7 linked regions of the Macaca mulatta genome follow. The protein of the gene in region 5 purifies or fractionates together with the protein of the main gene of each other region. This does not show direct contact. Links are inferred from orthologs where the notes say so. Each region holds a gene or a part of one and is shown on either strand. Other genes may lie near its edges. The genes, in order: PARP1, CREB1, PDLIM7, USP9X, YAP1, PALS1 and DDX17.

What was found.
Region 1: the proteins of YAP1 (region 5) and PARP1 purify together in Homo sapiens (affinity purification with mass spectrometry, with the first as the bait; 3 studies listed by BioGRID). This does not show direct contact. The link is inferred for Macaca mulatta from reciprocal best matches to the Homo sapiens genes YAP1 and PARP1.
Region 2: the proteins of YAP1 (region 5) and CREB1 purify together in Homo sapiens (affinity purification with western blotting, with the first as the bait; 3 studies listed by BioGRID). This does not show direct contact. The link is inferred for Macaca mulatta from reciprocal best matches to the Homo sapiens genes YAP1 and CREB1.
Region 3: the proteins of YAP1 (region 5) and PDLIM7 purify together in Homo sapiens (affinity purification with mass spectrometry; 3 studies listed by BioGRID and IntAct, with this or other methods). This does not show direct contact. The link is inferred for Macaca mulatta from reciprocal best matches to the Homo sapiens genes YAP1 and PDLIM7.
Region 4: the proteins of YAP1 (region 5) and USP9X purify together in Homo sapiens (affinity purification with western blotting; 3 studies listed by BioGRID, with this or other methods). This does not show direct contact. The link is inferred for Macaca mulatta from reciprocal best matches to the Homo sapiens genes YAP1 and USP9X.
Region 6: the proteins of YAP1 (region 5) and PALS1 purify together in Homo sapiens (affinity purification with mass spectrometry; 6 studies listed by BioGRID and IntAct, counting the BioPlex papers as one, with this or other methods). This does not show direct contact. The link is inferred for Macaca mulatta from reciprocal best matches to the Homo sapiens genes YAP1 and PALS1.
Region 7: the proteins of YAP1 (region 5) and DDX17 purify together in Homo sapiens (affinity purification with mass spectrometry; 3 studies listed by BioGRID and IntAct, with this or other methods). This does not show direct contact. The link is inferred for Macaca mulatta from reciprocal best matches to the Homo sapiens genes YAP1 and DDX17.

The regions. Positions count from the first base shown.
Region 1 is NC_133406.1:84,145,320-84,148,819, forward strand, and holds part of PARP1 (poly [ADP-ribose] polymerase 1), read right to left. Parts: intron 2,325-3,500; coding exon 2,208-2,324; intron 1,557-2,207; coding exon 1,380-1,556; intron 1-1,379. UniProt on the Homo sapiens protein: Poly-ADP-ribosyltransferase that mediates poly-ADP-ribosylation of proteins and plays a key role in DNA repair.
Region 2 is NC_133417.1:112,863,871-112,867,370, forward strand, and holds part of CREB1 (cyclic AMP-responsive element-binding protein 1), read left to right. Parts: intron 1-2,885; coding exon 2,886-3,030; 3' UTR 3,031-3,050; coding exon of another isoform or gene 3,051-3,086; 3' UTR 3,087-3,500.
Region 3 is NC_133411.1:186,479,743-186,483,947, forward strand, and holds the start of PDLIM7 (PDZ and LIM domain protein 7), read right to left. Parts: upstream 2,801-4,205; 5' UTR 2,724-2,800; intron 2,356-2,723; exon of another isoform or gene 1,926-2,355; intron 1,740-1,925; 5' UTR 1,729-1,739; coding exon 1,633-1,728; intron 1-1,632. UniProt on the Homo sapiens protein: May function as a scaffold on which the coordinated assembly of proteins can occur. May play a role as an adapter that, via its PDZ domain, localizes LIM-binding proteins to actin filaments of both skeletal muscle and nonmuscle tissues.
Region 4 is NC_133426.1:40,965,861-40,970,145, reverse strand, and holds the start of USP9X (ubiquitin carboxyl-terminal hydrolase 9X), read right to left. Parts: upstream 2,801-4,285; 5' UTR 2,520-2,800; intron 2,160-2,519; exon of another isoform or gene 1,493-2,159; intron 1-1,492.
Region 5 is NC_133419.1:103,075,980-103,079,479, forward strand, and holds part of YAP1 (transcriptional coactivator YAP1), read left to right. Parts: intron 1-511; coding exon 512-705; intron 706-3,500. UniProt on the Homo sapiens protein: Transcriptional regulator with dual roles as a coactivator and corepressor. Critical downstream regulatory target in the Hippo signaling pathway, crucial for organ size control and tumor suppression by restricting proliferation and promoting apoptosis.
Region 6 is NC_133412.1:140,407,796-140,412,061, reverse strand, and holds the start of PALS1 (protein PALS1), read right to left. Parts: upstream 2,801-4,266; 5' UTR 2,711-2,800; exon of another isoform or gene 2,552-2,710; intron 2,226-2,551; exon of another isoform or gene 2,103-2,225; intron 1-2,102. UniProt on the Homo sapiens protein: Plays a role in tight junction biogenesis and in the establishment of cell polarity in epithelial cells.
Region 7 is NC_133415.1:13,039,060-13,042,559, forward strand, and holds part of DDX17 (probable ATP-dependent RNA helicase DDX17 precursor), read left to right. Parts: intron 1-862; coding exon 863-1,004; intron 1,005-1,448; coding exon 1,449-1,609; intron 1,610-1,692; coding exon 1,693-1,865; intron 1,866-2,385; coding exon 2,386-2,496; intron 2,497-2,745; coding exon 2,746-2,807; intron 2,808-3,500. UniProt on the Homo sapiens protein: As an RNA helicase, unwinds RNA and alters RNA structures through ATP binding and hydrolysis.

The sequences.
Region 1 (3,500 bases), on a different chromosome or scaffold from region 5:
ATCTGCTAAGCCCACTGGGAGCTGAAAACACAGGGGACTGCCTAAGCACAGCCATCTGAGTAGCACATGTGCCCTATTGCTAGGTACTTCTAAAAAGAATGAGCAAGACTGGCGGTGGGGTGGGGAGAAGGGTATGTGAGAAGGAGGAAAAGGGTGGCAGAAAGAGGCTGCAGATGGCCAGCAGAGCCGCATCACAGAGGGCTCTGAGGACAAGCTACGGAGCTGGCCTTGATTCTGTGGGACAAGTGCCTGGAGGCAACAGTGTCACTGCATGGGCAGCAAGTAGTGCCAGACTGAAAACTTGTCTCACACATGCACATAACCTTTAAAAATGTATATACATGCTCAAAAATTGATATATAAAATACAAGGGATAGCACATTGCTTACTGCCATCTTACTATTTCCCCATCGAAGATAGTAAAAGAAATACAAATACCACATAAGGGTCTGGAAGATTTGCATACCCAGAAAAATCGGGGAATCAGTATAAGATTTTAAGGGTGGGGAAGTGCTAAGCTCAGATTTATTTTACAGGAAGCACTCAAGTAAAGGCATACAGAGAAAATTAGGGGGGATCATGCAATCATGGCAGTGAACAAGTGAGTCAGGAGCTGGTGGAAATGGAGTTCAGTTGTAGGTGTAGAGCAAGTAATGTCGACTGTTACTCGGGTAACGATTCCTGAGGGTGTACTGTGTGCCGCTGTTCCAAATGCTCCACCTAGGAGCAGGCAACAGCGAGGGAAGCAGCTTGGCGAGTGGCAGAGCTCTGCACCTACCCAGGCTGCTGGGCCTGGATCCTGCTGAGTCTGAGCGGGCACAGGCGAGGTCCTTGGAGCAGCCAGCCCCACAAAGATACTGCCAGAACCCCACCAGCATGGCTCCAAAGGGGGTTCCCCGTGGAGGTATTTTGCGTTGAGAATTCCATAAGCAGTTCCATTAAAAAAAGAGAGAACGTGCAATACTAGGAGATATGTGAACTTTGGATCCAATTCTTCTGCTGGCACTAGGCAAGGAAACGTCCTTGAAAAAAACTTGTATCAGAAAGCAAGAATTACTATCCATTTCTTCCCCATATGTCCCTCAAGCCTAGAACTGTGCCTGGCACATAGAAGGCATTCAATAAATAAAAATTATTTATGGTCTTTGCAAGCAACATTTTACACCAAATGGACAGTTCATACTTAGAGGAGCTTTGGTTCTACATTCGTGTAGTTTGCAAACATATAATTTTATATTCTGGTTAACAGGATGACATAGCTGTAAAGAAGTCTGAGGAACAAGGCCCTGCAATCTCAGGGACCTGAAGTATGAACAAGCGCAGAAAGTGGGGCCAGGTTTTTCTCCCAACAGATCCCAGGATCTTCCCCCACCCCTTACCTTTGGGGTTACCCACTCCTTCCGGTTGGGTGTCTGTGTCTTGACCATACACTTGGTCCAGGCAGTGACGTCCCCAGTGCAGTAATAAGCATCACTCTTGAAGACCAGCTGACCCGAGCATTCCTTGCAGGGAAGGAGGGCACCGAACGCCATGCCATCGGCTACTCGGTCCAAGATCTGCAGCCAGTGGAGAAACACATCAGAGGGCAAATGCGGGACTACAGAAAAGGACACTTACTAATGTGGGATGGAGGGACTTGCACAGATTTCACTCTCTACAAAGAGACTTCTTGCTGTGGGCTTGCTGTGGGGCTCTTAACACCCCACCCCGCCCTTCGTTTACAAAGGAGCTTGGATTCTTGTAAAGTAGGAGACCTTATTTCCAAGTGTTCCTGCAGCTCCCCCATCCCTCAGTGATTGAGAAATGAAGGGAGAGCCCAGAGCATCCACTGGCATTGCACAAAGTACAGTGCCAAGTCAACTCCCAAGAATGACAGCAGAGAAGGGCCAGCTGGGGACACTGATGGGACGCCGTCATGCCATCCCTCAGGAGGGGGCTCTTCACTCCACAGGCCTGGCACTCTAGAACAAGCACTAACATGTGGAAGATGTCTAGTGGGGCATGTGAATGCCGGCCCCATCCATCCCAGAAAAATGGTGACCACGATGGTGGTGATGACCGTGCAACACAACCACGATTTATACTCCTTGCAATTAATACCAGCAGGTGTTCACACGGAGGGCCTCCCACACTCCATTGGGACAGTCACTCCACAACGACGGGGTCAGCCTCACATGCGTGTCCCACTTAACACAAAGGCAGCTCACCGCCGACTCCCCAGAAGGCACTTGCTGCTTGTTGAAGATGAGTAGCTCCTTCAGGTCATTAGTCGAACACACTTTCTTTAGCTCATCCTTGATGTTCCAGATCAGGTCGTTCTGAGCCTATGGACAAGACCCAGTGGCTGAGAGGCCAGCTCTTTTCAAAGGAAGAATTCAACTGGAGGAGGAGCCCCGGTCAAGCTGAGCCTCCAGTTATACCCTGGTGCACCAGCAAGCTGCCACTCCAAACCTGGGTGATCAGCACAGGATTTGACTCCTGGTCATGCTCCTGTGGACACCAAATTAAGCCTGCTGTGTGGTCTCTCAGAGAATACTGTGGAAGGTGAGGAGGAGGCCCTAAGGGTTTGGGGGAGATTGCACCAAGGCTCCTGGAACCAACTCTCAGAAACCAATCCCCAGAGACACAAGGTAAGAGCCTGGAAGTGCTAGGCTGAGCCCAGGGCCCACGTTTATCAGCAACTAGAGGAGGCAGGGTATGGCTGTTCTCCACCAATCTTAGAGTAGGAATGATTCACAAACACTAATTTCCTTGATGGTATATTATATTCAGTATCACAGAGCAATGTATTTAAACTCTTCTGAAAATGGAAGTTTTAATCTTTATTAAAGTGACTACTCTTGGTTGGATGCTTTTACGTGTCATCTCACTTATTCTTTTTCTTTGAGATGGAGTCTCACTCTGTCACCCAGGCTGGAGTGCAGTGGTGAGATCTCAGCTCACTGCAACCTCCACCTTCTGGGTTCAAGCAATTCTCCTGCCTCTGTGTCCTGAGTGGCTGGGATTACAGGTGTGCAACACCACGCCCAGCTAATTTTTGTATTTTTAATAGAAATGGTGTTTCACCATGTTGGCCAGGCTAGTCTCAAACTCCTGGCCTCAAGTGATCCGCCTGCCTCAGCCTCCCAAATTGCTGGGATTACAGGCGCGAGCCACTGCGCCTGGCCTCATCTCATTTATTCTCACAACAATCAAGCTTGCTGAGGAAGCTATCAGCCTCTCCATTTTAAAGTCTGAGGGAGTCTCCTCCTTCCCCAGGAAAATAAGCAAGTTATTAACCATCTCTGCTCAGATTCCACCTCTGTAAAATGGAGACAAAAACGCCAGCCCTATCATATCCTATAGGGTTGCTGTTAGTACCAAAGGAGGATTTTAACTCCCCTGGTGAAGCTGCAGGCACACACGTCTGCTCCATTTCCCAGCTTCATTTTTAAGGGCTCCCTCGACATCTCCTCTCCGTTGCACACAGCATACGCCGGGACACCAGGAATGGAGACGTG
Region 2 (3,500 bases), on a different chromosome or scaffold from region 5:
ACAGGGGTGAGCCACCACACCAGTTCTCACAAACCTTTTGAGGTAGAAAATATTACCATGTCTTTTTTACAGTCAGAAAATTAAGATTTAAGTAACAAGATTGTGGCCCTTGACCACACAGAGCTAAAAAAATAATTTAGTGGTTTAGTTTGAGTAACTTGCTAAAGAACAATTTTTAATTATTTTTAATCTATGTTAGATTTTTTAAATAATATTATTTTTAATCATGGTAAAAAATATAACAAAATTTACCATCTTCATCAGTTTTAAGTATACAGTTCAGTCGTGTTAAGTACATTCACATTGTGGTGCAGCAGATTTCCAGAACTTGTTCATCTTGCAAAACTGAAACTCTATACCCATTAAACAACAACTCCCCATTTCCTCATTCCCCCAAGCCCCTGGCAGCCACCAATCTAAGTCCTGTTTCTATGAATATCATTGACTTTAGATGCCTCATAAGAGAAATTACACAATATTTGTCTTTTTGAGACTAGCTTGTGTTAGCATAATGCCCTCAAGGTTCATCTGTGTTTTAGCATGCAGAGGGCCTTCCTAAGTCTGAATAATATTAATATTACATTGTATGTATATACCACATTTTGCTTACCACTCATCTGCTGATGGACATTTGGGCTGCTTCCACCTCTTGGCTATTGTGAATAATGCTGCAATGAACACAGGTGTTGAGACCTTGTTTTCAATTCTTTTGGATATGTAGGAAAAAGTAGAATTGCTGGATCATATGGTAAATTTTGTTTTTAATTTTTTGAGGAACCTCCATTCCATTTTCCATAGCAGCTGCACCATTTTACATTCCCACCGACAGTATGCAAGAGTTCCAGTTTCCTCACATCCTCATCAACAACTGGTATTTTCTGCTGGTGGTGGTTTTTGATAGTAGCCATCCTAATGGTTGTGAGGTGATAACTAGTGGTTTTGATTTGCATTTCCCTAATGATTTGTGATGTTGAGCATCTTTTTTTTTCCCCCCCTGAGATGGAGTCTTGCTCTGTTGCCCAGGCTAGAGTGCAGTGGCGCAATCTCGGCTTACTGCAACCTCTACCTCCCGGGTTTAAGCGATTCTCCTGCCTCAGCCTCCCAAGTAGCTGGGACTGCAGGCACCCGCCACCATGCCCAGCTAATTTTTGTATTTTTAGTAGAGATGGGGTTTCACCATGTTGGCCAGGCTGGTCTTGAACTGACCTCGTGATCCACTCGCCTCAGCCTCCCAAAGTGCTGGGATTACAGGCATGAGCCACCGCGCCCGGTCTATGTTGAGCATCTTTTTATAGGCCATTTATATATCTCTGGAGAAATCTATGTTCAAGTCCCTATGCCCATTTTTTAAATTGGGTTATTTTGCTGTTGAGTTCAAAAGTTCGTTATATATTCTAGATCTTTTTTTTTTTTCCTTTATTTTGAGACAGCGTTTTACTAGCTGTCTCCCAAGCTGTGGTATAGCAGCATGATCATGGCTTACTGCAGCCTCGACCTCCCGGCCTCCAACCTCAGCTTCCTGAGTAGCTGAGACTACAGGCACACACCACCTAACTAATTTTTAATTGAGACAGGGTCTTGGTTTGTCGCCCAGGCTGGAATGCAGGTGGCAGGATCATGGCTCACTGCAACCTAAGACCTCCTGGGCTCAAGCAGTCCTCCTACCTCAGCTTCCTGAGCAGCTGGGACTACAGGCATGTGCCACCACACCTGGCTAGATTTTTTAAATATTTTTTATAGAGATAGGGTCTCACTATATTGCCCAGGCTGGTCTTGAACACATGGGTTCAAGAGATTTCTCGCACCTCAGCCTCCCAAAGTGCTGTGATTATAGGCATGAGCCGTACACCTTGCCTATTCTATATCTTAACCCCTTAGCAGATACATGATTTGCAGATATTTCTTCTCATTCTGTAGGTTGCCTTTTTACTATTTATTGTGTCTTTTGATATGCAGAAGTTTCCTAGTTTGATATAGCCCTATTTGTCTATTTTGCTTTTGTTACCTCTGCTTTTGGTATTGTATTTAAGACATCACTGCCAAATCCAATGTCAGAGAGGTTTTCTTCTAGAAGTTTTATAGTTTTAGGTCTTATGTTTAGGTCTTTGATCTATTTTGAGTTAATATTTGTGTATGACATAAGGTGAAGTCCAACCTCATTCTTTTGCAGTGGATATCCAGGTTTCCCAGCACCATTTATTGAAGAGACTGTTAGATTTTTTAAATGCCCTGAAATGATTAGTTTGTAAGATTTTCTATTTAAAGGATTGTTACACATTGAAATTTAGCTTTAATGTTTTCTTAGTTGTTGATATGGATAGAATTTCAAGTTTTGCAGGAATTATGCAGAATATCTTAATAGTGAGAGGTATAATTTTTAAGTGGTCATTTAGGTCTTATTTGTTTATGGAGTTGTTTGTTTGTTTGTTTTGAGACGGAGTCTTACTCTTGTCACTCAGGCTGGAGTGCAGTGGCGCAATCTCAGCGCACTACAGCCTCTGCCTCCCAGGTTCAAGCGATGCCCGCACCTCAGCCTTCCAAGTAGCTGGGACTACAGGCACATGCTGCTAATTTTTGTATTTTTAGTAGAGAGGGGTTTCGCCATGTTGGCCAGGCTGATCTTGACCTCCTGACCTCAGGTGATCCCCCTCTGCCTTGGCCCCCCAAAGTGCTGGGATTACAGGCGTGAGCTACAACGCCTGGCCAGATTAAAATTTTTAATATAAGGTAATTTCCAAGTCATTCTGTATATCTTTTCCAATTCTTAATATATACTAAAATGTTGGTTGCTGTGAGCTATTTCTTTAAAAAAGAAAAAAAAAAAGGTAATCCAAAATAAATATGTGGAAATCATTTGCATTATTTTTCCCATCTTTTGCTTGTAGGGAAGCAGCTCGAGAGTGTCGTAGAAAGAAGAAAGAATATGTGAAATGTTTAGAAAACAGAGTGGCAGTGCTTGAAAATCAAAACAAGACATTGATTGAGGAGCTAAAAGCACTTAAGGACCTTTACTGCCACAAATCAGATTAATTTGGGATTTAAATTTTCACCTGTTAAGGTGGAAAATGGACTGGCTTGGCCACAACCTGAAAGACAAAATAAACATTTTATTTTCTAAACATTTCTTTTTTTCTATGCGCAAAACTGCCTGAAAGCAACTACAGAATTTCATTCATTTGTGCTTTTGCATTAAACTGTGAATGTTCCAACACCTGCCTCCACTTCTCCCCTCAAGAAATTTTCAACGCCAGGAATCATGAAGAGACTTCTGCTTTTCAACCCCCACCCTCCTCAAGAAGTAATAATTTGTTTACTTGTAAATTGATGGGAGAAATGAGGAAAAGAAAATCTTTTTTAAAATGATTTCAAGGTTTGTGCTGAGCTCCTTGATTGCCTTAGGGACAGAATTACCCCAGCCTCTTGAGCTGAAGTAATGTGTGGGCCGCATGCATAAAGTAAGTAAGGTGCAATGAAGAAGTGTTGATTGCCAAATTGACATG
Region 3 (4,205 bases), on a different chromosome or scaffold from region 5:
AGGTGGGGGTGAGTCAGCCTGAGCAGCCCAACCCCCCAGTCCCAGACGTTACCTCATCTCCCAGGCCTGGGCCCACGGCCAGCCCTCACCCCTCCCATCTCCCTCCATCCTGGGGTCAGGGGAGGGGGAGGGGACTGGCCTAACTCAGAAAAGCCCACCTCACCCACCCATGTGGGCCCAGGTCCAACTCCAGGGCTGGGATCAGCTAGTGGCCCCACCCACATGCCGGGGATGCTGACCAGGGAGCTGGAGCTTGGAGTGCCCCCAACAGGCCATATCTGAAAGTCATCTCCATCAGGGAAGAAACTGAGGTTCAGGGTCCCCAGACGCATTGGGCCAGCACTTTCCCAAGGGGCAGGACGCCGGGTGGGTTTTCAGAGCTGTGTGAGGACTGTGTAGGAGGATGTGTGTGGTAGGGCGACCACTGCCCTCACTACCCTGCTGGTGGGGCAGGTTCCCGGAGAACACCGTGGAAGGACCCCTGGGAAGAGCCTACCCTAACCCCCATGCCCAACTCCTACAGACAGACTCCACCTTGACGCCCTCCTCAGGCCACAACCCTCTGGGCCCTTCCAGGCTGGGCTTGCCCTGGGCTTCCTGACAACAGCTGCCTGCCCACCCATCGCCTGGGTGGGCCTCTCTGGGCAGGCGGATATAGGGGCAGGAAGTCCCCACCCCCTGCTGACCCCCAGGCCAGTCAGAGATGCCAGCCCACAGGTTGGCCTCACCCACTCTGGGCAGGCAATTTGTTGTGTCTCACAACTGGACCATACAGCTGGAGCTGCAGCCTGATGACCAGCTGAGGGGCCCAGCAGTGGGGTTCAGGGGGCCAGGCCTAGGCCAGCCCTTTTCAGCTTTGCAGACTGCAGCCACTGTTGGCCATCCCAGCGTGGGGCCGCATTCTTGGGCTTATAAGGCAATCCCCCTGCTACAGGGAGGAGCCAGCCTTCAGCTCCACCCCCACCAGGGCAGGCTCTTGGAAGCTGAAGTTAAGCCCCTAGAGAGGAGCCCTGTCCTGCACTTCTGCTTGGGGTCAAAGGCCACCACGTCCTGAATGGGAATGGTGGATGCAGGTCCTTACATAGGCTGGGGAGAGACCCCTTCCACCCACAACAAATGCACACCATCCCGCGCTTCAATTCCAATCCCTGCTTCAACATGGACTCGATGAGCGAGCCCCTCCACCTCTTCATGAGTTCTTCTCTCATCTGGAAAAACAGGATGAGGACTGCTATTCCCTGGGCAGAAGTGTGTCTGAAGTGAAATCCTACAGTCACAGTGCCCTGCCTGGGGCCTGGCTCCAAGCATTGCCACCTCAAGTTTAGATACCTCCTGGAAATGTCAGGCTCCCATCCTGCACAATGATCCTCCCTCCCGCCCTCAGAAGTGGCCACAGGAGCTTGGGAGAACAGCATCCGGTACAGTGCAGGACTGGGGAAGCCTGGGTGCTCCCTCCCAGTATCCACCTCATTGGGAGTCATTGCAGCGGGCAGGTACCACTACATCTCGGACCTGGACATCTCCTGGCCTGCTAGCCCCTGACCAGCTCCTGTTAGGACTCCCCCATCACCCTCTGGAGACCTGAGCACCCAAAGACCGCTGGGGGAGCCCCCTCCCCAAACCTAGGCTCACCCGGGAAATGGAGAGGGGCACATTGAAGTCCTTGCCCCCTTGCAGCCGGAAGCCCCAAGGTGCCGGCCCCTCCAGCACTACCTTGAAGGAATCCATGATGCCGGCTCCTGAGAGGAGAGGAGAGAAGAGGTGAGTGGCCAGCATGGTGGGCAGGCAGGCAAGCAGGCAGGCCGGCCGGCCCAACTCAAGATACCAGGCTTGGACAGGGGCCAGGCAGGCACGGGCAGCCCCTGAGCACACGCAAGCCATAGTAGGCAGGTATTTTGTCAGGCTGGGCTGGGCTGCTGGCGGACCTCACTTTGGAAAGACAGGAACAGCCTCCCTCCCCTTGGGACTGGAACTGTGAGGGGTGCCTGAATCCAGAGTGGAGGTTCTTTTCAACCAGGGGTGGGCCGAGGGACTAAACTGGCGCGGCCTCCCCGCAAGCCAGCCTGGAGCCTCGGGCGGCCGGGTGAGTCAGGGGCCGGCTCTCCTCTCCCCCGCCCCCAGGTCCCGGCAGGCAGGCCGCGGCTGGAGCCTGCTCGGACTATATAAGGCGTGTAAGCTGACACTGTGCGGAGAGCCAGCGCAGGGAGCACACGGGGGCTTGGGACACGAGGGGGAGGGGAGGGAGGCGGCTGCAGCGGATCCTCCCAGCCATTCCGGGACCAGTCGAGGCTGCTGGGAGCCAGGGCGGGACCCCTGGGTGCTGAAGAAGGGGAAGGCGGGAGTGGGGTGCGGCCCCTGTGGAGACAGGTGGGGGCTGGGACCCTAAAGCATAGCTTGGAGGGGGATCCTTCCCGGAGCCCAATGGGGATGGTGCCTCCCACACAGAACTGCTCCCACACCGACGTGACTCAGTTTCCCCCTAGTCCCCCGTCCGGGCCCCATGCATTAGACTGGCCCCGGCCGCAGGAAGCAGCGCAGGCGCCAATCGGCCCCGCCGCAGCCGGCTTCGCGGCAGGAAGGCGGGGGCGGGGGCGGAGGCAGGGGCAAGGGCCCGCGGGAGGAAGCACAGCCTGGACCGCGACCCCCAGTGCCCTTTGTGGTCCTCAGCAGGCCCCAGGCGCCCGCCTGGTCCAGCCCAAGACGCCCCGCGCGGTCGTCGATACCTGCTCGGCCCCGCCAGTGCGCTGCTCGGCGTCGGGCTCCAGGGAGCCGCGTTGGGATCGGCCGCCAGTGTTCTGACCCCGCCCCCGCAGTCACCCTCCACTTTGAGCGCGCGGAAGGGGGCGGGGCACACGGCCACGCCCTCGTCGTGACCACGCCCACTAGACGATCTCCGTTGGTGGAAAGCGCCACCCAGCTCTTCCGTCCCGCCCAATCACCACGTCCCGTCGGGCTGCGAGCTGAGAGGCCTCCCCGACCCGGGCCCTGCAGTGGGGCGGAGTCGGGGCGGGGCCGGGGCTGCGGGTCGCCTCATTAGGGAGGAGCTGCCTCGCCCAGTCCCCGCACCGCCCGCTGGCGGAGGGAGGGGAAAGCGGACCTGCAAACCAGACCGACCTGGGCCCTAGTCGTCTCTGAACCTTAGTTTGCTACTCCGAAAAATGGGACGATCATACTCGCCTCGCAGGGCTGCTGCGAGGGTCGGTATCGTAGGTGCAACCATCGGGGGCTGCAGGATTTCTAAATCAGAGGGCCTGGGAGGAGATAAGGTGGGGAAGTTGAGGGGGACAGGGGCGTTTAAAGCTTGATTTGCGCAACGCTCTACCGAAGGCAGGAACACAGGGCAGGAGCGGACGCCGGGGGTCCCTGGCCTTCGGGCCTTGCCCTCGCTCGCATCCCTACAACCCCGACCCGACCCGCACACCGTCGGAAGCGCCGCGTCCCGCTCCACCTTGGCCAGAGCGGACTGCGCCCCGTGGGAGGCGTCCTCAGAGTCCCGGCCCCGCGTTCAGCCCGGGCACTAGGGCCCGCGGCGCGGACACTGAGAGCATGCGGGTGTCGGGGTGAGGGAAGGGGCGTCCACCCTCCACTCGCTTGGTGGTCCCGGCCGGTCAGCTCCTCCTAGGACATGGTTGCTGCAGTTCTCCCCTCTCCATCCACAGTCATCACACCCACCCTCTTCTGCATAAAACGCTGTGAGAGTTCTCATCGTTAAAGACCTTCTCTTGACCCCACATCCCTCTCCAACTACTAGCCTTTAATTCTGCTCTTGAAAGTCAAATTCCTCCAGGGAGTTGTCTGTTTATCGCGTCTCCACTTGCTTTCCTTCAGTTATCTCTTGAAGCCATGCCAGGCAGGCTCTTGTCCGCACCGGTCCCCTGAGATCTTTCTTCTCAAGGTCACCTGTGACCTGGAGGCCATCGGGCCATGGAATCCGTGGTGGTTCAGTTTCATCCTGCCCCTCCTAGGGGCAGCATGGGTCCGGGTGGATTCTCGTCCCCCGAAACACCCTTTTTCCCTGACTTCACAGCTTCTCCCTGCCCCACTGGCCCCTCCTCCCCATCCTCCTCTGCCTCTGGCTTTGGCCGTCTGATGCCATCTCTCTTTATTCTCACCCCCTAAGACCCGGTACCGTCCTGTGGCTTTCAATACCACCTGTATGCCAAGGCATCTCATGTTTCATGGCCAGCCTGACCTCTCCCCAGGAA
Region 4 (4,285 bases), on a different chromosome or scaffold from region 5:
ACGATAAAGTTTAAAGGGTTAAAGTTAGATGTATGACACAGCACATTAGTTTAAAAATTGAGAAAAAGAATGTTGACATTTTTTATATTTAATACATAATTCTTCAAGAATTTGAAGGCATTTGCTGAAACCAAAATGGCAGCCCAGCGAATTAGAAGACCAGCGAGATCTAAAGGAGAGTTTGTAGTCTCTATTTTTAAGTTCAAGTGTACTAACCAGCCAAGCTAGTCATGGTGAAGGAGTTACCTAAGGGTAATTAGCTCCGAGAGGGTTAAGTACCTGCTGGAAAGTTTCCTAATCAATGCACCCCAAATTATTCCCCTCAAAAGTGAAAGTATACATACGTTAGGTAGATTCAGGGACTCATGGGTTTCCAGGTAAAAGAGCGGCACACACACTTCTCTCGCCGAAAAATAAAGTATGAATAATCTATACCTACAACTTGCTTAAACTAAAAGACAATCTGAAACAATTATATACACCTGTAAACTACACCGTGTAAATTCAATTAACGTTATAACTATGGAACTTCCAAAAAATAACATGCTTAATTTAAGCAGGTTCTACTAGAAATTTTGCAAATTCTCGTGTAAGTTCTAGTCGCTACAGAAATCCACACAAATAATTGAAGAAGCCATCTATACACCTGCTCTATATAACTCTGTAACTTATTTCACAATGAATGAAAAATCAGCCATTTATCCAACCCTAAGCCTCACGTCACAAGAATCTGAAGATCTGATCACTAATAAACTCGCACATGCTAATATTTGCAGAAACAGTTAAAAATAGAAAGATAATAGGTCCAAGCTAGCTTGGAAGCGATTTCTGCACTCAAAAACCCCTTTCACGGCTTTGGCCCTCTGCAAATTAAGCGGGGTTAAGGAAGTGTAGGAGGCCGATAACCCAGCTCCGACTCCAGGAGCCCAGGGCCGGGGAGAAACTGCGGGTTATCGCGGGAGGGTGGGGGGAGGCGGACAAGTCGTCAGGCCTGATAGCCAGGCGTAGCCGAGGCCTAGCTCCCCGACTCCAAATCACTCCACCTCAGTAATGGCGTTTGGTGTCAAGTGGAACCAGACCGGGCAGGAAAGCGGCCGCCGGGCCGGGGGCGGCCAGCCCCCAAACCGACCCGGGCCCCGGGTGCGGACGGCGGGGGGGCTGCCCGCCACGCCCGGAGACTCCATCCTCCTACTCGGCCCCAGACAGGACGGGAAGGGGGAGGAGGGGGAGGGACGGAGCCGTCAGCCATTTTCCCTTACAGTCCAAAACACACAAGACACGCTCTCGGGACACCGGCTCCACACACAACACGGCCCCGCGCGCCCGCCCAGCCCGGGCCGGAGGAGGGGGAACGGGGAAGCCCCGGCCCGGCCGGCAGCCGCCGAGGGAAGAAGCTCACACACACGCACACCCCCCTCGCCCTCCTCCCCTCACCCACATCCAGCTGTTGGCCCCGGGAAGGCGCGTCGCCCCGGTGCAGCTGGCCACTCACCGCACGACACAGACGTCTTCTCAGAACCAGGGCACGTGGAGGCGGGAGGCAGCAGGCGACGCTGGGGCTCGGTCTCGGGACAAGACCTACCCTGGGTGCATCCCAGGCCCGTGGGTGACCGGCAACAAAGTGTATTGAAAGGCTGCGGCGGCCGGGCTCGGGGCTGAGGGCGTCTCAACCAAAAGGCTGCACACCCGGCGCCGGAACTCGCTTCTCGCCGCGCCCGCCTCCTCCTCCTCCTTGGCCGGCTACGGCCCTCTTCCCCCTTCTCCCCTCAGGCTGGGGCTCTCGCTGAGCTCAGACGGGCTCCGGGCGGTGCGTTTCTCCTGCGTCACCTCCTCCTGCTCCTCCTCCTGCAGCGACGGCTTCACCTTCCCCTAGTCGCCGCCTCTGTCCCCGTTCCGGGCCTGGTTGCTTTGCAACAGCTCTCTCCTAGCTCCCGGCGCCGACCCAAGCACCGGGCGCTAAGGCGGCCGCCTCCCGCGAGAGAGAGGCGGCGGCGGAGGGCTCCCGCGAGGCCCGGGAGCTGTGCAAGGCGGGGAGGGGCTCGGCGCGGCAGAGGCCCTGACGGGGCCGGGTGCGGAGAGGTTGCGGCTCCGGCGGCGGCGGAGACTAGCGTCCGCAGCCGCGGATGCCCGTCCTCGTCAATATGGCGGATCCGGCAAACCAAAAAAAAAAAAAAACCGCTCGGCCAGTGGCGGCGGCGGTAGCGGCGACGGCGGCGGCAGCAGCGGTGGCGGCGGCGGCGCAGACTCCCACTAGCCCCAGAGCCGCCCAAGACCCGAAGTTCTCCGCCCCCGTCAGACCCCGCCCCTCTCAGGCCCCTCCTTTCGGGCCTCCCCCTGCTCCTGCCCAGCCCCCTCCCGCTCAGCTGCCCCCTCTTCTCCCGCCTCCACCCCGGACCGTCAAGGCTGGGAGAGCAGCGCGAGCCGCCGAGGGGGCCGGGCTTGGGCGCGAGCCGCTGGGAACCCGGAGAGCTAGGGTGGGGGAGGGGAAGACAATGCGGTAAAGATTGTTCGCGCAGTACCGTTTCTTCCGGCTGGCCCCTTCAGGGTCGTGCTACCGCCAGAAATCCTGTTCCATGCCCCTCGGCTCAGGAGCGGGACGAGGGCAGAGGTGGCTCTAGGACCGAAGTTGGGGAAGGGAGGCCCGAAAAGATCTGGCACACCACGCCGGAGGGGCTGGGCGGCAGGGACTGGCGGGGTGTGCGGTCACGACGGGGTTAATCGCGTGAGCCGCAGCCGCGTCGCTCATAGTTTGACTCTGGCCGCTTGTTTTTGTTCCATTGTGAACCGTGGCCCCACCGACAAGAACCCGGATGATGACGTCACCGGCCTCCCCCTTTTCCGGGATCGTGGGGGGAGGGGCGCGGAAAGATGAGATCCCGAGACCACGCGCTGGGCTGTCGCCGCCGCGGTGCCTGGAGGTCCCGGCGGCGCAGCTGACCCGCGTCACGTGACGCACGAGCTGGCCGGGCCACTGGGCTGCGGGGGCGCGAGGTCCCGAGGGCCTGGCCACCTGCTTGGCGCCGATAGGGGGAAGGTGTGGCTATCTCCTGCAGCGGAAGGAGGGGGCGTGGGGAGTGAGGTCCTTTTCCCCACCCCGCGAGGGAGGTGCTCTGGGAAACACTTTCACACGATCGCGCAGCATCAGTACTTGAAAGCGTTTAGGCGTCCTCACAGCGTAACTGACGGGACTGACAACCTTGTTGGCTATAGGAGCCCTTCAAACAGACCAGGAAAGAAAAAAATTATAAAGTACCCCAGACGGCTTAGCGAATAGGCCGTACTTGATATGGCAAGATTAGCCTCCATTGCCAGATCATCAGCACGATTCGGTGTTAGAACCCGGAAGAAACTTATGAACCCATCCGCTGTGTCATGGACTATTTTCTACATGTTTATATTCCAAAGTGCAGGCGTAGGAAAAACTTAGGCTAATCTCAAATTAATGGGGTGCTTGGAACAATTCTATACAGTCTGCCTAGGATGCCCAAATGAAGAGGAAATTAACAGTTCCTAATTTACAGATTTCCTTTTGACTTAAAACTACCTGTGGACATCAAATGGCATGCAAAATCATAGTAAAACCTTACAAAACGAGATCTATTTTATAGAGAACAGGGTTGAATTTAGTTATGCTATGATTATATCAGTTTGTAATAAAAGACTGTTAAAAATGGAACCAAACTAATTTAGGTGACAGTGAAAGCAAGTTATTGGTATCTTAAATTTTTAAACCATTTCTCTATTTAGCACTAGATTGTTTACAAATTTTTCACCACAAAATTACCTAATAGGGTATCCAAGATACATCATTCATAGCCCTAATAACTCTTAGCATATGTTACCTTGTTTTTGTAATTATTTCCATGAATCATTTGCTTACCCACTAGCTCATGGGCTTCTAAAAAGTAGACACGACCACCCGTGTACACTGTAGGCTGTTATCTTCGATTTTAGATAAGGAAACAGAAAGGGTAAATGATTTGCCCAAGGTCAGGATTGGAAAGTGTTGAACACTGGTCTTTTAACCCTATCAAAAGTGCACCTTTAACAAGGATTGTCCCCTCTCACCAATTCTGTTCAATATTGTACTTGCAGTTCTAGCCTGAAAAAGAAATGAAAGACATCCAGATAAGAAAGGAACAATTAAACTATCGCTACTTTCACATAACATGATTTTATATATAGAAAATCTTGGGAAATCCACTATAAAAAAAACCTAATAAAGCCAATAAGCAAGTTCTGGAAACTGCAGGATATAAGATCAATATTTAAACATCAGTTATAG
Region 5 (3,500 bases):
GATGAATTTTTAATTACATTTTTATATTTCATAAGAAGTAATGAATTTACATCATTCACACTTCAGAAGTTATAAATAAGGTTCTCCAGCTTTGTCCTTTAGTCAGCTAGTTTCTCATCTCTGGAACCAAAAGATGTTAGTTGCTTCTTAGCTATTCATCAATTTTTATATTCTCTGAATATGCAATATATATTCACTCCCACTCCCTCCCCTCTTTTTTTAACACTTTACCTTGCTTTTAATTTAGTAAGTCCTTAGAAACTATTCCTTATCATCATTGCCTGTTAAAACTACCTCTTGTTTCTTTTCTCTTATGACTTCCTTGTATCTTGTGACAACAGTAATAATAATGTAGTCATTGTAATATTGATGGATTTTTAGGTTATTTCCAGTCTTCTTGCCCAGAAAAGCTACATTGAATATCCCAAATTGCTTTTGAATAATTAAATTATCATTTTCTCTTCCTTCGCTAGTTTTTTAGGACAGATTTTTTTTTTTCTTTTCATTTCAGCCATGAACCAGAGAATCAGTCAGAGTGCTCCAGTGAAACAACCACCACCCCTGGCTCCCCAGAGCCCACAGGGAGGCGTCATGGGTGGCAGCAGCTCCAACCAGCAGCAACAGATGCGACTGCAGCAGCTCCAGATGGAGAAGGAGAGACTGCGGCTGAAACAACAAGAACTGCTTCGGCAGGTGAGGCCACAGGTTAGAAACCAGCCTTCCACTTTTTGGGGTTTGTTTTCTTAAAGTTGGGCAGATTGCATTTTAACATTTATTAGTTACAGAGGAATGTTGTCTTTGTAAAACTGAGCGACACAGAAGCATTCTATCCAGCCCTGTCCTTGTCTTAGTTTCGTGACTGTGAATGGCCTTTGATCAGGTTTCAAGGGATGTGACTTGGAAACCTGTATCGTGAAGAGCTGTTTTGGTCATGGTCATTGCAATTGAGCAAGAAGTGAAGGAAGCAAGGATGCTTTCTCTAACCTACATAGAATTATGGATTGCTGTTTTTCTGAGGATTTCACTAAAGGGGAAATTCTAGAACATCACTTGGGAGAAAATATCCTTTATTAATAACTTATGTGGTGGGATACACCAATATGACATTTCTCAAATGAAATATACTTCAGTATTACCGAATCTAAGAATTTTCATTTAAAACAAAATAAATATTACCTTTGGCCAGGTGCGGTGGCTCACGCCTGTAATCCCAGCACTTTGGGAGGCCAGAGTGGGCAGATCACTTGAGGCCAGGAGTTCAAGGCCAGCCTGGACAACTTAGCGAAACCCCATCTCTACTAAAAATATAAAAATTAGCCAAGTGTGGTGGCGCACACCTGTAATCCCAGCTACTCGGGAGGTTGAGGCACAAGAATCACTTGAGCCTCAGAGGCAGAGGTTCAGTGAGCCAAGATTATGCCACTGCGCTCGAGCCTGGGTGACAGAGCGTGACTCTGTCTCAAAAATAAAAAAGTTATCTTCAAGTTTAGAAGATGCCAGTGTGCTTTAAAATGACCTGCTTATGGATGTTTTTTTATGTTGGGAAAAGTAGGACATAGCAGTAGAGAGCTTGAAGCCCTTTAATCACCATTTCTATCAGCTTTCTTCTAGAAGGTACTGTTGGTCTTTATGTTCCTCATATATATAATTAATGTCAACATTAATTTTTACTTATTTCAGAGTGGTTAAATCTAAGTTCAGATATTGGGGATAAGGTCTTTTGTTAAGTAGTGTAGATATTTTTTAAATTTCTATATAAAATTTTTTTGAATAGATAATAGAAACAAGGTATAATAGTGATAAATGTACAAAAGGTGAAAGTAGACTCAAAATAAGAGCTTTTCCCTGTTTTTCTGGTTCTCTCCTATGGGGCCTGAATAACTATGAGTTTCTTAGGTTTTTTGTTCATTTTTCCAGAGATACTCTGTTTACATACATAAAATACATGTATCTATGCTGTTTTTTCCCCACCTAAATCACAGCATGCTAAGTATAAACATTTAAAAATCATCATACTTGGTCAGGCATGGTGGCTCATGGTGGCCCATGCCTCTAATCCCAGCACTTTGGGAGACTGAGGCAGGAGGCTTCCTTGAGCCCAGGAGTTTGAAACCAGCCTGGGCAACATGGTGTAAGACCCTGTCTCTAAAAAAAAAAAAAAAAAAAAAAAAAACACAACTCTACATTTCCGTTACCAGGAAGTAGGCACTTAAAGGTCTGTTTTTTTTTTGTTTTTTTTTTGTTTTTTTAGGGCTATATTTTAAAAGTATCTCTTGAGTGTCAGTAAAAATATATGAACTCAGTACTACCTGAACTCTGATTTGGGGTTTGAGGAACTGGTATTTAAGGAGTTAAATTAAGCCATGGCTTCTGAGACAGGCTCACTTTTAAACTGTGCTTTGTCGGTAATCTGTCCATCTAGTGTGATTGGCATCAAAGGTAAACCCTGATAGAAGGAGTAAGACAGTATGTGCCAACATATGATGTCAGGAACTTGTTGGGGCTCAGAAAATGATGCTACAAAATATGATTCTTTGACAGACTAAACTAAGGAAGCAGCCTCAAGTTCTCTCCCAAAGCACAGGATGAGGCTGTTCTTTGAAGTTCCTTTATCTACCTAGAAACCAGACCCCCCAAAAAGGAATACAATTGCCGTTGATCCCCTCCCCAAAATTTCATTAACCAGAGAAGACTGAAACTTGTATGACAGAGGAAAAGACTAAAAATTAAATATCACACCTAGAAAGCTCAGAGGAACTTTGCCCAGACTATTGTCTGTTCTCAGATCCCATTCAGTTTCCAAAGAGAATTATTTACTAACCATTGTCTGAGCACTGGGCCCATTCATTCTTCCTACGAATCATTTACTGCCCTTCAAAATGGCCTCATTTCCCTCATGTTCCCTTCCCCTGTGAAGAAAGGTATTATATAGTATTTGGAACTTAGTTATTGGGTAATCATTCTCTTGCAATTTCCCCCATACTTGGGTACTTTAAATAAATTTGTATGCCCTTTTCTCCAATTAATTTGTCTATTAGTTCATTTTCAGCGAACCTTTAGAGGGCAGAGGGGAAGTTTTCCTTTTGGCCCCTATAAAGTGATCTTGAAAGAAATGTTTCTTTATCTGACATAAAAAAGATGGAGAAAGGAAGCATTATTGTACCTCTGACTTTCTAACAAATTACCATAAAGAAGATGTTTCACCTGCTATTGTTAGAACACGGTAGAACCATCAAAAATATAATTATGTGGCTAATAGAAAAAAATAAAGCAATTTAAAAATGTTTTATGTAACCTATTTTCATTGTTTTTCATTTTGTTGTTACCGAGTAGTAGTTGTTCTGAGTAAATACAGGTCTCAATTTCACTATGAATAAAAACTGTCAAAATCAAAAAACTAAAAAACAGTTCTTTAATTACTAATGTTAAAATCATACTGTTTTTAAGATAATTTGTAAAGTCTAGAAATGGGGCCATTCGCCATTTTGTTTTATGCCATA
Region 6 (4,266 bases), on a different chromosome or scaffold from region 5:
AAGGCAACTTACTGGTTTAACAATAAGACATCCTGAGAAGAGCAGTGAACTTAGAATATGGAGACAAGCATTTTAGCATTCATGTAGTTCCAAGTCTGCCACTAACTAGCAGTCAGACTACGGATTACTTAACTCCTTCAACCCTCACTGTCTTTTTCGTGGAAAATGAAGAGGTTAAGATTACTTCTAACTCAACGATCCTATGATTCAGTAAATATATGACCAAAAATTATAAAGGCCGGGTGTGGAGGCTCACGCCTGTAATCCCAGCACTTTGGGAGGCAGAGGCGGGCGGATCATGAGGTCAGGAAATCGAGATCATCCTGGCTAACACGGTGAAACCCCGTCTCTACTTAAAAAAAAAAAAATACAAAAAATTAGGTGGGCATGATGGCGTGGGCCTGTAGTCCCAGCTACTCGGGAGGCTGAGGCAGGAGAAAGGCCTTAACCCGGGAGGCGGAGCTTGCAGTGAGTCGGGATCGCGCCACTGCACTACAGCCTGAGTGAGATATATGTGTGTGTGTGTGTGTGTGTGTGTGTGTGTGTGTGTGTGTATTCTGGCGGGGGGTGTGTGTGCGTGTGTGTGTGTATTCTGGCGGTGGCCCACGCCTGTAATCCCAGCACTTCGGGAGGCCGAGGCGGGTGGATCACCTGAGGTCAGAAGTTCGAGGCCAGCCTGGCCAACAGGTGAAACCCCGTCGCTACTAAAAATACAAAAATTAGCCGGGTGTGGTGGCAGGCGCCTGTAGTCCCAGCTAGCTGGAAGGCTGAGGCAGGAGAATCAGTTGAACCCGGGAGATGGAGACTGCAGTGAGCCAAGATCGCGCCACTGCACTCCAGCCTGGGCAACAGCGAGACTCTGTCTCGCAAAAAAAAAAAGAAAAAGAAAAAGAAAAGAAAATTATATTGTAAAGCACATATGTCAAGACACTATTTTTTCTAGACACTCTGAAATCAGAAAATATCAGAGAAACAGGGCATCTCAGTATAACCTATTAAATTGATCAAGTTTCTTGGAATGTGTGATAAAATTTTATTTTTTAAATTTTTTCCATGACAGCCCTCAGGAGATCCTGAAAACATGTACCCCGTGATGAGATTTTTAATCAAAACCATAATTCAAGATCATGTAAAAGCTAAATCCACTGTACTGACTTGGGTCACCCTCAGGAAGAACTTATATATTCTCTCCCGTTTTAACATTCTAAAACAAGTTAATGTTAATCAATCCACCTTAACTTGTCAAGTTCAAGTCCGTCTAGCCAAAAGTAATTCAGGTACATGGTAAAATTTACTCGATTTTTAAAGATTAAATAATGAATTGCTTTTCCTACTGTTGCCTTTTTTATCTATAAATCTCTTACATTATAATTTAATAGCTCATCCTACTGCAAATAGAAAGCCTATAAAACCTATCCACAATACGCTATGTCCACAGGGATCTAGTAAAAAAAAAAAAAAAAATCGGTAGTTCTTAATTCAAGGACGCTTATTTAATAAGTTTCATTACCACCAATACTTTAAAGACACCAATAACCAACACGTCATTTGTTCCTACTGCAGAATTTAACAGGTTATTAACTTCTGGTAAAATCCAAAAGCATAATTAGTAAACTATCATTAAAACATGATATTGTTTTTTTAAAAAATCGGAAATATTAACACCTTTCACTGTGTCAAATCAAAATTTCAAAATTTTTGTTCAACTGACTTTCCGAATCTAAATTTTTACTATTCTAAACAAGTATGGAGACAAAACACACACTCTATACTACGTCTAAAATCTTCCCAATCATCAGATTTTAATTTTAGCATAAACTGCCAAGAAAAACCTTTCGACCGAAACTTACATTCCATACACATTACTGTACGTCAATCAACAGAAGGTGAGTTATGATCATTAGAAAGTTACATAATTTACTACAAAGATCGTTTCAAGCAACCTTCATTAAACATAGAATACAACAATGTACAGGCTTCAAATTCAACGTGCAACCTTAAATTATCAGAAACCATCAACAAAATTAGGCTTTTCTTTAAAACTGGTCACAAGGAAGCAGGAACTGTTTGCCTGTTTAAGAACGCAATAGGCAGCAGAATACCAGCAGCTGAGTCAGGCAGAGGAACGCTGACTACATTCTGACTTCTAAAGGAAAGCGTTCCCTCGCCGGATTCCCAGACCCGGCCGGGGGGAGTCCCGCGCGTCGCGACATCGGGGCGGGAGCGCAGGGGGCAGACGACTCCCCGCCGCGCCCCCTGCACCTCGGGCCCGGCTGGCTGTGGCCCGCGCCAAGGTGCATGCCCAGCCAAGCAGAAGGAGCGGGCACCGCGCAGGCAGCGTTGCTCCGAGGGACAAAGGTTGGGCTCACACCCTCCACCGCCGAAGCTGCCGCGCCTGAGGAAGCCCGCCTGGCGGCCCGGGGTCTCCCGCTGGCCAGAGTTTGAGCGGCGTGTGGGGGAAGGGGAGCCCGGCCGCCCCTCCCCCGCCGCGCTCCCGGGGACCTGTTGATTAAGATCTCCACAGCCCAGCCGCCGCCGAACCACCTCTTACCTCCGCGCCTCGGCTCCGCGGAGCCTCCCGCCCGGCTGCTCCTAAGCACTGCAGAAGCGACAGCTCTCCGGCGGCCCTTAAAATACCGGATAAAGAATCCAGAAACTCCCGACTCCCCACCTCAGAATCCTTAGTCCCCGCCCCCGCCCCACCGCCAACCTCCTCCGTCGCCGCCGTCGCCGCCGCAGCCGCCAGCAACTCCACTTCTAGACCGCGCGAGACCGGCCCCTGCGGCCGCCGCGAGACCGCGCACGCGCCCCCGGGACTCTGGCGCAGCGGGCGCGCGGATCCCAGTCCCACCCCGCCCGTGAGAGGCTGGCGCGGCTCGCCCAATCCCGAGCCGGCGCGGAGAGAGCGCCCGGTCATTGGTCCTCTCCACAGCTCCCGCCGGGTGCGCGCAGTCGCGCGCCTCTAAGTCTAAAACCCGGGCTGCTAGGAGCTGGCTGTCCCTGCGGAGCCGCTTCGGGGTTTGGCCCGCGGGCTGTGTGGGGACGCGAGGCTTCCCTGGGTTTCTACATCCCTTGGCTGTTCTGTCTCTGGATGACGGCTCCTGAAGAAAATCCGAGTCCTCCTGAAGAGATTCCTCATGTCCTGTCTAGTTAGTCTCACAATCTAACATTTCTTTTTTTAAAAAAAATGACGTAAACACCTGGATGTGTGCAGTGTTCCACAGAAGACTCCAGAAAGCCACCAGCAGCACTGACTTCTGAAAACCAGAAAGCAAGGATGGCAAGGACTAGAACTATTTCCCAGAAGTCTCCCGAAGGGACAGAGAGTTACGCAGACCAGCCCATGTCCCGGGCATGGCTGGCGCCCTCGGGACCTGGATGTGCCACCCTTGGAATGGGGCAGGGCTCTGGCGGGTGCGGGCGGAAGTCAGAGCAGATTGGAGTACGTTCTAAGGAGAAATACCAGCAAATGTGTCTCGACACTTGCAATAAAAGCCCTCGGATGGTCTCTGTCTTGACAGTACCTTCCGAGGAAGCCCATCCCACCTTTGAACCCTTGCAAGGTTTGTTAATCGACCTCTCCTTCTATGAGGCCAAAATATGCTTATGATTCCAGCCGAGGTGTACGGTTTCCCCCAGGGGGCATAGTCCTCCCTCAAAGCCTTCGTATATGCCATTTCCATTTCTCTCGGTTTTCCTCATTTTGTCCCACTGTGTTTTTCCATCTCGCAACGTCCTCAGGTCCTGACTTTCAAGTTCTTTCACATTCTTCCCCATTACGCTCCTCTGGACAGCCTATGGATTGTTAGTGTCCCTCACTAAGGACACTGTGATGCTCTGAACGAAGCAAACTATTGTTCGTGGTGGTGAAGATCTTTGGGGATGCCTACCCTTCCCAGATTTGTTATCCCTCTCAAATCTGATAAGCATTCTGTCCAAGTGTTTAATAAGACAGAGCTGAGGACAGAAGTCTGCTGTATGCCACTAAAGACCTTAATGCTCCTGTCATCAAAAAATTTCTCAGTAGGCTTCGAATACAGATGGACGACACAACCGAACTGTCTTCTTGGCCCATATTCCTCCACAAAGATGCCAGAACTGGCGAAATGCCTAACTGAAATCCAGATAAAGTCTCCAGGATTCCTAGAAACTATTAGCCATACCCCAAAAGGAAAAAAACGGTTAGTGTGTTTGACTTACTTCCTTTTCTAAGTTCGTTTGTTTTTGTTTTTGTTTGAGAGGGGGTTTTGCTCTTTTGTCCAGGCT
Region 7 (3,500 bases), on a different chromosome or scaffold from region 5:
TGGTATATGATACCTTGATTTTTGTATTATTTGGCCAGATTGTACACAGTTTTGTCAGATTACATGTAAATTTTCATTGTTTTTGCCTTATCTACCTGGTGAAGTGCTTAAACTAGAGGTCAGGAATGTGTCCTTCTGCCAGTTTTGTGACTTCTAGTTTAAGTCAGGTTGACCATCCAAAATTTCAAATTTTAGGCCAGGCACAATGGCTCACACCTGTAATCCCAGCACTTTGGGAGGCCAAAGTGGGCAGATCACGTGAGGTCAGGAATTCGAGACTAGCCTGGCCAACATGGGGAAACCCCATCTCTAGAAAAATACAATAATTAGCTGGGCGTGGTGGCGCATGCCTTCAGTCCCAGCTACTCAGAAGACTGAGGCGCAGGAGAATCATTTGAACCCAGGAGGCAGAGGTTACAATGAGTTGACATTGCACCACTGCCCTCCAGCCTGGGCGATAGAGTGAGACAAAACAAAACAAATCCAAATTTTGAGGACCAATATGATTCTCAAAGTAATGCTGGAACATTTTGGTTTTTCGGGTTTAGGATGCTCAACCTGTAAATGAGAATTGTATACTTAAAATCAGGTAATACAATCTGTATACGTACTTAAAAGTACATATAAACTATAATGATTTGATAATGTGTCATAGTAAAAGTGACGAGGATACCAGTATCATTCCAAATGCTAAATATGAAGTTCTAATAATTTCTTCTACATTCCATTGTACTAATATTCCCTCCTTCTGATCTTCACCCCATCACTTTTAATGTACTAGATTAGACAACAAAGATTTTTGGTTTTTTTGTTTGTTTTTAAACCTTGGGTGGGGTCTCAAATGTCTTTTTGTTGATTTCAGTGTCTAGTTCTGGCTCCTACCAGAGAACTTGCCCAGCAAGTACAGCAGGTGGCCGATGACTATGGCAAATGTTCTAGATTGAAGAGTACTTGTATTTATGGAGGTGCTCCTAAAGGTCCCCAGATTCGAGACTTGGAAAGAGGTAATAAAATAATATCGTGTAAAAGAATTGTTAGTTTATCTTTACCAATTCCTGTGGATGAAATTGGAGAAAAAAGTGGGTTCTTGTGAAAAACTGAGAATTTCAACAGCTTAGAAATTCTCACATGTGACCAAAATAACTATTTTGTTAGAGAAAGTTCAACATGACTGGAAACTTTGTGAGGATTTGGTGATTGTACATAAATCCCGACATCATGCTTTTGCAGGTACTTTGTTAAAATTTAGCTTCTCTGCAGCATTGAGTACAGCCACCAGGGCTGGTGCTGCTGCGTTTTTGTAGAGTCGGGGTCTTGCTATGTTGACCAGGCTGGTTGTGAACTCCCGGCTTCAAGCTATCTTCGCGCCTCCACTTCCCGAAGTGCTGGAATACAGGTGTGAGCACTGCACCTAGCTGATTTGCTGGATCATTGGTTTTGTTTTACAGGTGTTGAGATCTGCATAGCCACTCCTGGACGTCTGATAGATTTCCTGGAGTCAGGAAAGACAAATCTTCGCCGATGTACTTACCTTGTGTTGGATGAAGCTGACAGAATGCTTGATATGGGATTTGAACCCCAGATCCGTAAAATTGTTGACCAAATCAGGGTGCGTAAAACTAATAATAAGCAGTCTTTATGCCATTTGTCCAAGCTCCTTAGCCTGAAAGAAAGCCTTTCCTTTTTTGATAGCCTGATAGGCAGACGTTGATGTGGAGCGCAACCTGGCCAAAAGAAGTAAGACAGCTTGCAGAGGATTTCCTTCGTGATTACACCCAGATCAACGTAGGCAATCTGGAGTTGAGTGCCAACCACAACATCCTCCAGATAGTGGATGTCTGCATGGAAAGTGAAAAAGACCACAAGTATGAAAGAGATTTTACTCTCTGATTTGATAATACCAATAAACCTTTTCTATTAATAACCCTCCAAAATCAGTATTACAGAAACCAGTATATTTTGAGGCCTGAAAGCATTAAAAGCATTGCTAACTTTCTGATAATCCATCTTTATGTCATTTGTCAGAGCATTATGGTTAAATGCAAGGATTCTGAATTCTTGAGTTTGAATCTCAGCTCTGCTGATTACCAGCTGTATAATTTTGCACAATTTTATGTCTTGGTGCCGCAGTTTCTTCATCTGGGACATGGGAATAATACCACTCACTTGAGACTTGCTGTGAGGATGGTATGAGTGGTATGAATTAGTATTTCTTGAGCACATAGCAGAACCTGACTCAGGACTCCATATTAATGTTGGTTTAAAATTTTAAAAACGTAATGTGCAAAGAAAGTACTATAGCTTTGGGAGTTGATATTGTAGACATAATCTTCCACATAATAGATACTTTCTGTGTGATGACTGCATTGTTGGTCTTGTTTTCAGATTGATCCAACTAATGGAAGAAATAATGGCTGAAAAGGAAAACAAAACAATAATATTTGTGGAGACAAAGAGACGCTGTGATGATCTGACTCGAAGGATGCGCAGAGATGGGTGAGTATAGCACCAAGGCAGTTAACCTCTGGTTTTATAGTTAACTGGAAATTTCTAAATTGGTATTCCAAATGCTGTGTAATATTTCAATAATGCCTATCCATGCAGTTTGCTCTTTTAATGAGCACAGTCATCTATTCATGAAGCCTGACAAACCTTAAAAAAATTGCATTATAGCATTTGGCTTTAAAGTTTGATTTTCCCCATTTTAAAATATTTTTTAAATATCGGTTATTTTTCTTTTGATAGTTGGCCAGCTATGTGTATCCATGGAGACAAGAGTCAACCAGAAAGAGATTGGGTACTTAATGGTAAGTTTAAGCATTTTTTGTTGATTTTTTTTTTTTGTCCCCACCATAAGTGAATGTCCATGCTCTATTTCAGGGATAGGCAAACTTTCTGTAAAGGGCCAGATAGTATGCTTGGCTTTGTAAACCAAATGGTGGTCTCTGTTATAGCCACTCAGCGCTGCTGTTTTAGGACAAAAGCTGTAGGCCATAGATAATATGTAAAGAAATGGCCTACACTGGGCACTGTTGGCGGCTCATGCCTATAATCCCAACACTTTGGGAGGCCGAGGTGCATGGATCACCTGATCCCAGGAGTTCAAGACCAGTCTGGGCAACATAGTGAAGTACTGTCTCTTTAAAAAAAAAAAAAAAAAAAAAAAAGGCAAAACAAAACTTAGCCAAGCTTGGTGGTGCACGCCTGTAACCCCAGCTACTCCGGAGATTGAGGTGGGAGGATTGCTTGAGTCTAGGAGACAGAGGTTGGAGTGAGCCAAAATCGTGCCACTGCACTCCAGCCTGGGTAACAGAGTGGGACCATGTCTCAGAGATAACATGGCTGTGTTCCAACAATATTTATTTGCAAAAGTGGGTGTTGTGCCACATGTGGCCCAAAGGCCTGTTTGTCTTGCCCCTGCTGTATAGTTAATTGAATTACTGAGGGCACTTTTAGTATGTGCTCATGGTCCATGATGCTGGCTCTTTCAACTTTGTCAC